2 linked regions of the Bombyx mori genome follow. The protein of the gene in region 2 purifies or fractionates together with the protein of the main gene of each other region. This does not show direct contact. Links are inferred from orthologs where the notes say so. Each region holds a gene or a part of one and is shown on either strand. Other genes may lie near its edges.

Region 1 (5,505 bases), on a different chromosome or scaffold from region 2:
GGATCAGTACAGAGCTGCAGAGGACTGTGTCTGTAGTAGTGTAGTATAGGACTAGAGGCTAGATGTAGGTCGGATCTGTGTCTGTTTGTATACGAGAAGAGCTCGGGATCAGTACAGAGCTGCAGAAGACTGCGTCTGTAGTAGTGTAGTGTAGAACTCTCGATGCATACCGTAATTGATTTAAAGGCCTTCTTCGCTGATGCTTTGGTGATGTCGAAGAGCTTGATGCAGTTATCCCTTGATGCCGACACTAAGATCTGTTCTCGGGGATGAAAATCGAGCGCTGTAATTTCATCAGTGTGGTCGTATCTGCGTAAAAATATATATTGCTTAGATGGGTGGACAAGCTCACAGCCCACCTGGTGTTAAGTGGTTACTGGAGCCTCTAGAGATCTATAACGTAAATGCGCCACCCACCTTGAGATATAATCTCTAAGGTCTCAGTGTAGTTACAACGGCTGCCCCGCCCTTCAAACCGAAACGCATTACTGATTCACGGCAGGAATAGGCGGGGTGGTGGTACTTACCCGCGCGGACTTACAAGAGGTCCTACCACCAGTAATTACGCAAATTATAATATTGCGGGTTGAATCTCCTAGTCATGATTGTTCTTATGGCGACCTTAATCTAACAATATCGCGCGCCAATCGTGGTTTCGGGGACGCAGCTTTGAGACTGACTCCTCAATATTTCTGTTGAGCCTTCAGAATTTTAGTTTTATAGGAAAAATGGAAATCGGCACGTTAGACTTTAAGTGGCTCTTAGCAAGGCCGCTTTAAGGTACAGCTATAATTGCCTCATCGTCTAAGTTAGTAACATCGCCATCAGCTTTCCTCAGTAAGCTCCCCTGACTTTTGAGTACTTGAAGAAAGCGCCGATAGTATCTAAGATACGATTGAGCCTTGAAACCCGACCCATTACTCACAGGGTTCTGATGCCGATTAAGCCTTGAATTGAAAGCCCATTCATTGCTCACAGGGTTCCGATGACGATTGAGCCTTGAATTGAAAGCCCATTACTCACAGGGTTCTGATGACGATTAAGCCTTGAATTGAAAGCCCATTACTCACAGGGTTCTGATGACGGGATGCCCCTGTTGCTCCCTCCCTTGCTCCACCTCCTCGGGAGCTGATTTCGCGAGCATCCTCTCCACATCTAAAATCTGGTAAAATGACGCCAATAGAATTCAGAATCCATCTCTTTAACCAAGTCTATGAGTATCGGATATTTTTGTTTCGATACCTGTTCGTTGGTAACCTAAGGGACTATTTCAGCTACGCGCGGGTAGGTGAGCTCACGGGCTCAACCTGAAAGAGCATGCTAACACTAGCACTAGTCAGAGTAGTACTTCGCAGAATCCACCACCGGATCGGAAACGCGCCCCACTGAGAAGATCCGGCGAGAAACTCAGTGGCCTGCATCTATAGGTTAGGGTTTCAGATCTTCACCCTCCTTTAATACGGAGTATTAAAGTTTAACGGTAGGCGGCGGCCAGGCTCTGCCCCTGGCATCACTGAAGTCCATGGGCGACGGTAACCACTCGCCATCAGGTGGGCCGTATGTTCTTCTGCCCAAAAGGGCAATAAAATAAATAAAAGAGGTTTTTAAGGTTTACCGTGACGCTCCATAGATGGCGCCACTGATTTTCTAAATTGCGTTGGGATTATGTTGCAAGATATTATAAAAAAAAACCGTGAGCACACATAGGTCCACGCAAGTAAGTCGCTAGCGCATAGTTATATACAAATTGTGGATTTAGAATAAGATTGTAAAAAAAAATTAAGAGAGAGACAGAGAGTGAGAGAGAAGGAGAAAGAGAGACGGCATTCTTTTTTTTGCACATCAAAACACAATTATGATTGAAAAATTAGTCAAAAAGGCAAATACTGTACTGTACTTATACTTAGTCTTTTGATTAAATTATATTGGCAATTTTTTTTTTATTTCTTCTTTTTCTTCTTTGTCTCCACCTTATCCCACTAGGTGGAGTCGGCACAGCAATTTTTTCTCTTCCATTCTCTTCTATAAGCCGTCAACTCAACACTCACTCCTCTCTCTCTCTCATATCGTCATTCACACACTCCATCCATGTCTTCTTCGGTCGACCCCCTCTACCTTGCACTACCATTTCAGATATTTATTTATTATAATCGATTAGGACAGCGTTAATTTTTTCTTACTTTAAATACTTGCAAATGATATGGTATTTATTATATATACAGTCAAACCTGGATAAGTGAGAACTGGATAAGTGAGAAAACTCTATAAGTGAGAGTAATAGCCAGGACCCGTCATTTTAAGCTCCCAAAACCTCTATTAGAGAGAAACAGAAACCTCTGTAAGAGAGAGTCGTTTTTCCCTCATGGACCTCCGTAAGTGAGACTGCTACTTATCTATACCTCTATAGGCGAGAGTCGAGGAGGATGGATTTAGGAGGAACAAATGAAAAAACAAATTACAAGTTTAACATCTGTTATTTTATGACTCATTGTTAACTTTTGTGGAACTTTCTACCATATTTTTTGAATTGTTTTCTCGTCAATATTGAACCTATTCTATTTCGTGGAACTAAATAACGTTGTTATTTTATCGCTTTCTTTTCGAATGGACACGTGTGCCTGTGTACCGTCCTGTTTGTCGGACTTACTCAGTTTATCGTTAATCAATTGCAAAGAAAAGTTCTGTTCTGCATCATGTCAAAACGGAAAATTAAAGTAGTGAATGCGTTTGAATCCGTAAACCGCGAAATAAAATTCAGAGGGAGCATTAGCGAGAAACTCGGGTTAGTGAGAAACCTCTTTAAACGAGAATGAGATTGTGCTCCCTTGAACTCTCTCTTATCCAGGTTTGACTGTATATATCATGAACCAAGATCCAAGTTTGTCTGTAAGTCGTTAAGCGCCTTTCAGAGTCTCACCTTGATACTGGCATCGACACTGCCAGTGGCCACCAGCTGTCCGCAGTGGCTGAAGGCTCCAGCCCGGCAAGACATCTTGTGCGAAGTCACGTATGCCGTCTCATACGTGGCCGGCTCAGGGGCCAGGGAGGAAGCGTCCATTTCGTACTCCAAGTCTTTGGAAGTTCGAAAAGCCATAATCAGGATTTTTTTTTTATTGGTTAGATGGGTGGACGAGCTCACGGCCCACCTGATGTTAATTGGTTACCGGGGCCCATAGACATCTATAACTTCAATGTGCCACCCACCTTGAGATAAGTTTTAAGGTATCAAGTATAGTCACAACGGCTGCCCCACCCTTCAAGCCGAAACGCATTACTGCTTCACGGCAGAAATAGGCAGGGCGGTGGTACCTACCCGTGCGGACTCACAAGAGGTCCTACCACCATAATGTGTGTGTAATGACTAACTGCTGCAGTAGCAATGAAGCACCTAATGAAGCACCTAAAGGAGAAAGCACTAATTTAGGAGGCCTTCGACAGCAATAGTAAAAAAAAACTCACCAAAACCGGTTGTGCCCAAAAGATGCTCGGCAGCATTCGATGCAGCCAGCCTATCTTTCCTGTCTGGCTCATGCTGTAGGCCCACCATCATGACATTGAGCAACCTGCAATAAAACACGCTTGATTCATCAGCCCCAAATCTTCTATATAAATAAATAAAATTGGAGACACTCCAATTATGTATAGATTTACAAAATGACCTAGTTAGATTAAACCAAATTAACAGCTGTTGACTAAATCGGTAGTTATTATCGACATCACCATAATTAACTAGGTCACAGCACTACCGCATTCCTCAGGATGGACATGAACTCGCGCGCCTACTGTAACTATGTAAGGCTCTCTGCCATCTGCCAAGAATGTGTTATGAGCTTCTTGGGACACATCATGAAGTCTCCCAGACATGAATTAGAGAATATCTTAATTTTAGCCCGCATAGAAGGCAAGCGCGCCGTGGGCATAACACCAGACCGATGGTCAGATCTGGTTAAGAGAGAGGTTGGTGGTAGTCTAATACCGCGCGGTCCATGCCACCCATGACCGAACAATATGGAGAAGAGAAAAGAAAACATGTGGTCGCTGATGATAGGACCTCTTGTGAGTCCGCGCGGGTAGGTACCACCGCCCTGCTTATTTCTGCCGTGAAGCAGTAATGCGTTTCGGTTTGAAGGGTGGGGCAGCCGTTATAACTATACTTGAGACCTTAGAACTTATATCTCAAGGTAGGTGGCGCATTTACGCTGTAGATGTCTATGGGCTCCAGTAACCGCTTAACACCAGGTGTGCTGTGAGCTCGTCCACCCATCTAAGCAATAAAGAAAAATTCCTTAGCAGTGAGAGAACAATAAAGAAGAAGATGTTGTATATGAGGCAGCTAGGTCCTGTCTATTTTAGACTGTTAGTAACTGTAGACTGATTATTTTATCGATACCTGTCGCTGGGAGGACACGGAGGGTCAGCGTGTACGGCTGCTGCCAACGTCGCAGCTATGGGCTGGTAGCCGTCATAGTACAATTGGCTGTAAAAGAACATACAAGCTTTCATAAGTAGAACTGGTTATCGGCACTGGGATAAACACAAAGGACAATATGACTTCTGGGTAAGCTGATGGTCTGAATGTTGTTTTTTTTCTCCTACCTAAGCTGAGAGCCATGAAAGGCTATTTCAGCGTAACCTTAACTAGTAGGTAAGCTCACGGGGCTGACGACGTTGCTAACACGAACCTTAGCAAGAGCCGAGCTTCGCATAAACTACCACCGGATAGGGAACGCGACCCACTGAGAAGATCCGGCGAGCAACTCAGTGGGCTGTGTCTCTGGGTTAATTTACTCGTCGAGCCCTTCGTCGCAAGCGACGGGTTCGGCGAGAACGATGACCGGTCCTTGAGGTGAATATTGTTGTTCGCAACTTGTATATATGTAAGATTATCTTGAAAATGTCATTAGCGCAATTCAGGCGTCTGTCAAATATCTTGTGTCGTATGATGGCCACCCGCCATCATGTACAAATGTAATTCTGAAGGTACTTCACCCAGTTATATGCTATTATGGGAACAAAATTAGGGCTGGTAGATACAACCTAGGAATGCAACAAAAATTGTTAATACTTGTATTTACATACAAGTGTATATTTATATCATTAAATATAATAATGTATTACTTATATGTGTCTAGTCTTTTTAAAATGTAGCATATTTCAAATTAAGCAAGTCAAGCTTAAAGCTAACCAGTGTAGTAATTTTAGAAAGCTGATAAGCGGTCCCAAGGAAATTTCCACATGTGATAATTACATGATGCAACTTTAAAAATATTTCTTTTTTTTGTTTATTTAATATGAGCTTTTATATTACTGTGACGTTATGACCGATTTAGAATGTGGTTTAATCACCGAGAAGAATCTTAAAGAAAGACAGCTTGTTCTTAGTCCAAATTTATTTATGTCATACACAATTTTTTTACTTATAATTAGTATGGCTTGAATTTGAGGAAACTTGTGTGCATCACTGAGGTGACATTGGTCAGGGGCCAAAGATTTCTTCATACTGTT
Region 2 (5,605 bases):
AATAAGTAAAAACATGCCTAAAAGAACTCAGTCCCTGAAGTACCAACCATTATACACTATATTTTCAGATTGTATTATATTTTTAATATGAGTCCAATTTTTATTTGTTTTCATCAGTTGTGCTGGCATGAAGTAAAATTCATTGGCTTAGATGGAAGAAGTACTCACACCTTGCTTAGTGTTGTAACTAGACCACAATAACTCACAAAAAAAAATAACAAAATTAACAATATTAAAATCTTTTTGAAGATTAAAGATTTCCAAATATTTAAATTACATGCAAAACATAGATATCCTATATAAAAATTTGTTTTGTCAATTTGATTGATTTGACTTGCCAGTAAGCAATGTTTTGATATTGTTAGATGTGTACCTAGTCACTAGTTTTAAGGAGTCTGTTTATTTGGAAGTGTAAACTAATTAAAACATAAGTTTAAAATATGCTAATAATATGTTCTAGTAAGTTATACACATAATTTTAATTTTCATTATTTTTTCTACTTTATAACTTGTTTCATTTTAACAGTTGTGACAAAGATAATCAAATAATATAAATGATATGGTTGGCGAATGCAAATAGTCCTTACGCTGAAAAAACACAGAAAGTATTTATTTAAATACCTTGTAATTTACTAACCTTTGGGGTGATGTTGATATCCATTGCAGCTGTTGACTAAAATCGATACCTAATCAACCTTTATCAGTTCACTTTGTGACGTAAACACAAGGCACTCTAATTACAAAAAATCTTAACTGTTAATTTTACACTCAACTAATTTAATAATCAAACGATGCATTTTGTTAGAAAATATAAACCAGACTCGTTAGTCCACTCCATAAATTGGCACAAATAGTGACAGATTTCCGTTTACTTCAAAGAGCAAATTAATGTTTAGTGGTGGTTTAGTGTTTACTTGTCATAGACCTTAATACTCGTCCGTTGTTTACTGCCATTCAGTTTCAAAGAGTAGGGTTAATAGGAAGGAAGCTAGTTCGGGGCTCCATAGATTGTAGTTATAGGACTTATGAGCGACGTAGATTTGTAATTTGTACTTGTATTTGTTTGGACTTGGCGGGAAAGGCGTAACGTTGTTGAAATTGTTTTATTTGTTGAGTTTGCGTTTGTTCGGCGTAATCGTACAATAATTATGATATAGGAGCCGTTTTCCATCTCTGAAAGTACACGAATGTGCGAAAAAGAAGCAGAACGCTTGATTTGGCTTGTCAGACACTTATCTAAATATGTAGTATTTAAATTATTGTCTCAATCAGTTTTTATAGATTTTTTTTTTATTTATTTCTTCTTTCCAATTTTTTTCTCTGTCATTTTTCTTTCTTCCTTTTATTCTTAGACTTCCTCCAAATTGCTTGAAATTTTTCTATCTAGATGTGGTAGTGGTCTTTTTAGTCACCTCTCTTCCAAAAAATCCATTGAAACTCTCAGTATATTCACACCTTTTTACTGAGACTAATAGTCTTATAACTAATATAACTTATAACTAATAAAGCTTTATTTGATTTGCATTTAGTTTTGTTCAACTTTTCATAGAACAGAAGGCCTTCATTTACAAAAGTTACGGCATGAAACCTATTATTTTTGCTCACTGCTTTTGTTGCCCTCATACATCTTATTTATTTTGTATGATATCCATGCTCACGCAGAAAGAACAGGTTACTGTAGCGTCGCACTTCGGAAATGTGAATATTATAGATTTTACTAAGTTAACCCTACAGTTTCAATCTATCTTATCTTAACTAAACTACCTTTAAATCATTATTACTATGAAATGTTTCGTGAACGCTTAAGTGAACTATTTAGAAAAATACATTTTATGTACACTTGTGCACTTTTGCTGATATTAAACTACTACCGCTGGACGTAACTTCTCACCGTCCTCCAAAAAGTACACTGAAAAAGTGTCAGTAAATGACAACCATTTTCATACCCCAACTCATATCTTCTTATCTCATTTCATTTCATTTTAATACCACGTTTCACATTAATCAACTTCATTTCATTTCACTTCATATTAACTTAATTCATTTAAAAATAATATTTATAAATATAAAAGATTAGGTAGGTTGTACACCTTTGCTTTTCCAATTGGAAAAGTTTGTGACAGTGACAGCTGCTTGCCAACTTTCACTGACACTGACATATTGTTTTCATTTTGTTGGATATTGACTATTATTCTGTTTTTCGCATTAATTACGCTGATCATTAAATTAGTAACAATATATTATTCAAATACTTAATACTGAATAAGGCGTTAATATATCAACTTTACGCACCAATCACCATGACTTCAACAATGCCTAATGATACAAATGAAGAACGTCGTCGTAGAGTAAGTACCCAACTACATAATATGAATAAATATACAATGATGATCTCTATAAGATTATTTAAAGAATTTTATAGTCTGTTGGACGTTAATAAACAAGTTTTGTAACCGGTTCTAATATTTAATGTTTTCAATGATTTCATTTAAACTGAATATGATCTAATTTCCATCGAAATTTCTCGAGCTAGCAAGTATTTTTTCCGACAACAAAGAAAGTATAACGACCATCTAAAAGTACAGTTTGACTAGATATTGCAAATTAGTTAAAATTATGGTAATTAAAAAAATATGCTAAAGATATGTTTAATAAAAACTGATAAAAAGAAAGAAAAGCAGCTATGGCTTAAATGGATTACTTAACTTGACATATAAAAATTAACAATATTTGTAATCTACTTCAGCCAGTACTTTAATATTGTTTTCAAAACCATGAATTTCAATCACTATAGGTACTGCTAGGTCCTCTTCCAGCAGGTTTTCTTCGTGCTGATGCTACTTCTGACGGTGTGGACTCTGATTATGAAGCTGCACTTGCTTTACAACAACAGCTATATGGTGCTGCAGTATGTAGATTCTTTATTTTTAATTTAGAATGAACTACATAGTTTTTTGATAGAAACATAACTTAATTTATATATTTATAGTTTTAAGATGTCACAATGGCCTATGGGAGAGGTTTTTTTAAGTCATAACTCAGGAGTATTGAGTTCATACCCTTTTATAAAACATGTTTTTGAAATTATAGAATCTATAATTGATGATATTTGTAAAAAAAGTTACTAATTTATGAAATAAATACTTAATCTGATTTTTACTAATATTGAAAAGTTTCAAAACAATATATAGTATGATCACAACTGTACCTATACTATAGAAAACAGATGCTGTTGGTTATAGTTTCAGTTGACTTTTTAGCGTGCTTTATTTCCTATTTAAGCTGAAAGCCTTGTGAAGCTATGTCAGCTTTGAGTGCTATTCAACCACTTTAGCTCTTTTGGTCTCAAGGTAGTGGCAATCATGTTCAGATTGATCATCTGTCTACTTGGAGCTGTAAATATAATGGTGATAAACTGTACTCATTTGATTTAATTATTTAATTTCATTGCAGAATTTTATTAGTGTTTAGGTGAATTTAGTGTTATTGGTGAGTTAGTGAGGACAGGCAATACAATAGAATTGAAAAAAGATAAGTCTTCAAACCTTTTCCTCAAGATGGTGGATGACTATATAAATTTTGTCATGTACGTAGGCTTCTGTAACTTATCTATCACATCAGGCTATGAGCCCTTTGTTCAACTATGTAGTAATAAAATTTTCCTTCAATATGTAAAGCTAATTATAATGGATGAAATGTTTCTCAGGTACCACAAAGTGGCCCTCCAATGACAGCGAGACTAAGTGTCACTATAGCTCAAGCTAAGCTTGTTAAAAATTATGGTAAGTATTTTTTGAAGTGATAAAAATTTATAGGTCCAAATTTGGCCAATGTTTATTACATTTACCACAATAGCATATGCACATATGTATGCATGATTTATTTAAATCTTACACCAATAATCAAGATCAGAAAGCACATATTCTACATGCGTTTTTTTTAAATTGAATATGGTTCTGCTAATCTTCTTATCAAAATAGGATATCTCAATGAATTTTTTTCTTTTGTTTGTGATATCTAAGATAAGCTGTGACTACTTTTGACTCATATTAGAGATGTGTAAAGTGCTTTGTTGCTTGCATAAAGTTTGATTATAATCAAATTGAATTAGACTTAAAAATTCACAAAATAAACTAATCAACCTTTTTTTCTTTTAAAAGACGCAGAGTCGATAAGTTAAGTGTACTACATCCATATTTATAAATCAACATGGATTCTCTAAACTATCTCAGTATTTGCTTAAGAAACAAGCAACATTTTTATTTTAACCTTGTATTCCGTTTGAGAAGTCATTCATGCCCTAATTTTTTATCTCTTACCTAATTCCTCCGTTTTACTGATTTGATTTTCTTTCTACTGCAAAACAATCTTGCATTCCGTCTTAAAAGCGACTTTAACTGTTATTCTAAAGTAACTGTTTGCCTTGTAAAAAGACCATTTGGAGTGCAGAATACAGTAAACTATTAGTACCAAAAGTGATCATATATCAATATTGAATGATCCTCCTTGAAATATGAACATAGGACTAACTCGTATGGACCCGTATGTTCGTGTGCGTGTTGGACATTGTATATACGAGACTCACACTGATCCGAGCGGCGGGAAGACTCCGAGATGGAACAAGGTCATTCACTGGTATGATATTTTTTTTTTTTTTTTTAATTGCTTTCGTTTGCAGTCTAACAAAAGGATTTAAATTCAACCAAGGCCAAGATTCTTGGCAATAAAAAAAAAAACTATGAGAGGTGACAATATTAGGTGATAGCTGACTAGATAGCATAGAGATTCGCAGGTTTTATGTATGGCACTCAGTGTACCTAAAGGGCGTCACGCACGGCGAAGATACTGTAATATAATCAACATTTTGTATGAACACATGGTTAAGATAATATACATTTGATAGTTCATACGAAATGTATGGCGAGCGATATTGCATGTTAAGATAAAATATTATAGTATCTTCGCCGTGTGTGACGCCCTTAACACAATAACAAATTAAATGACGCGTGGGGTCAATGTTCTCGTGTGACACATATTACGCTGCGCTGTATATTTCTTGAAACTACAGGTACATACATTATTATATTTCTTTTAACATGTTGGGGACCAAGTATTAATTTTTCACATCACAACTCGTTAAGTTACTAAAAATTATAACTTACATCATTATGTGCTTGTTTGCAATATTGGAAGAATGGGCTTTATGAATTTTAAAGCTAGTACTTTGATGGCAAAGCCAAAGAGGCAAGTTACCATGGATATTTGCTAGTTAAACTGACATCAGTACACTTTTTATACTATGCGTCCTATACCGACAGTGAACTAGTAAACTGGTGGTGGATTACTGGTGGTAGGACCTCTTGTGAGTCCGCACGGGTAGGTACCACCGCCCCGCCCATTTCTGCTGTGAAGCAGTAATGCGTTTCGGTTTGAAGGGTGGGGCAGCCGGTGTGACTATACTGAGACCTTAGAACTATATCTCAAGGTGTGTTGCGCATTTACGTTGTAGATGTCTATGGGCTCCAGTAACCACTTAACATCAGGTGGGCTGTGAGCTCGTCCACACATCTAAGCAATAAAAAAAAAAATCTGCCGCGAAGAAGTT

The links.
Region 1: the proteins of toll-interacting protein (region 2) and cleavage stimulation factor subunit 1 purify together in Homo sapiens (co-immunoprecipitation; 3 studies listed by BioGRID and IntAct, with this or other methods). This does not show direct contact. The link is inferred for Bombyx mori from reciprocal best matches to the Homo sapiens genes TOLLIP and CSTF1.

Annotation. Positions count from the first base shown.
Region 1 is NC_085130.1:10,338,960-10,344,464, reverse strand, and holds part of cleavage stimulation factor subunit 1, read right to left. Parts: intron 4,478-5,505; coding exon 4,391-4,477; intron 3,564-4,390; coding exon 3,460-3,563; intron 3,073-3,459; coding exon 2,918-3,072; intron 1,163-2,917; coding exon 1,071-1,162; intron 310-1,070; coding exon 171-309; intron 1-170. UniProt on the Homo sapiens protein: One of the multiple factors required for polyadenylation and 3'-end cleavage of mammalian pre-mRNAs. May be responsible for the interaction of CSTF with other factors to form a stable complex on the pre-mRNA.
Region 2 is NC_085120.1:7,055,636-7,061,240, reverse strand, and holds the start of toll-interacting protein, read left to right. Parts: upstream 1-2,116; 5' UTR 2,117-2,300; coding exon 2,301-2,348; intron 2,349-2,794; coding exon 2,795-2,908; intron 2,909-3,706; coding exon 3,707-3,782; intron 3,783-4,523; coding exon 4,524-4,635; intron 4,636-5,605. UniProt on the Homo sapiens protein: Component of the signaling pathway of IL-1 and Toll-like receptors. Inhibits cell activation by microbial products. Recruits IRAK1 to the IL-1 receptor complex. Inhibits IRAK1 phosphorylation and kinase activity.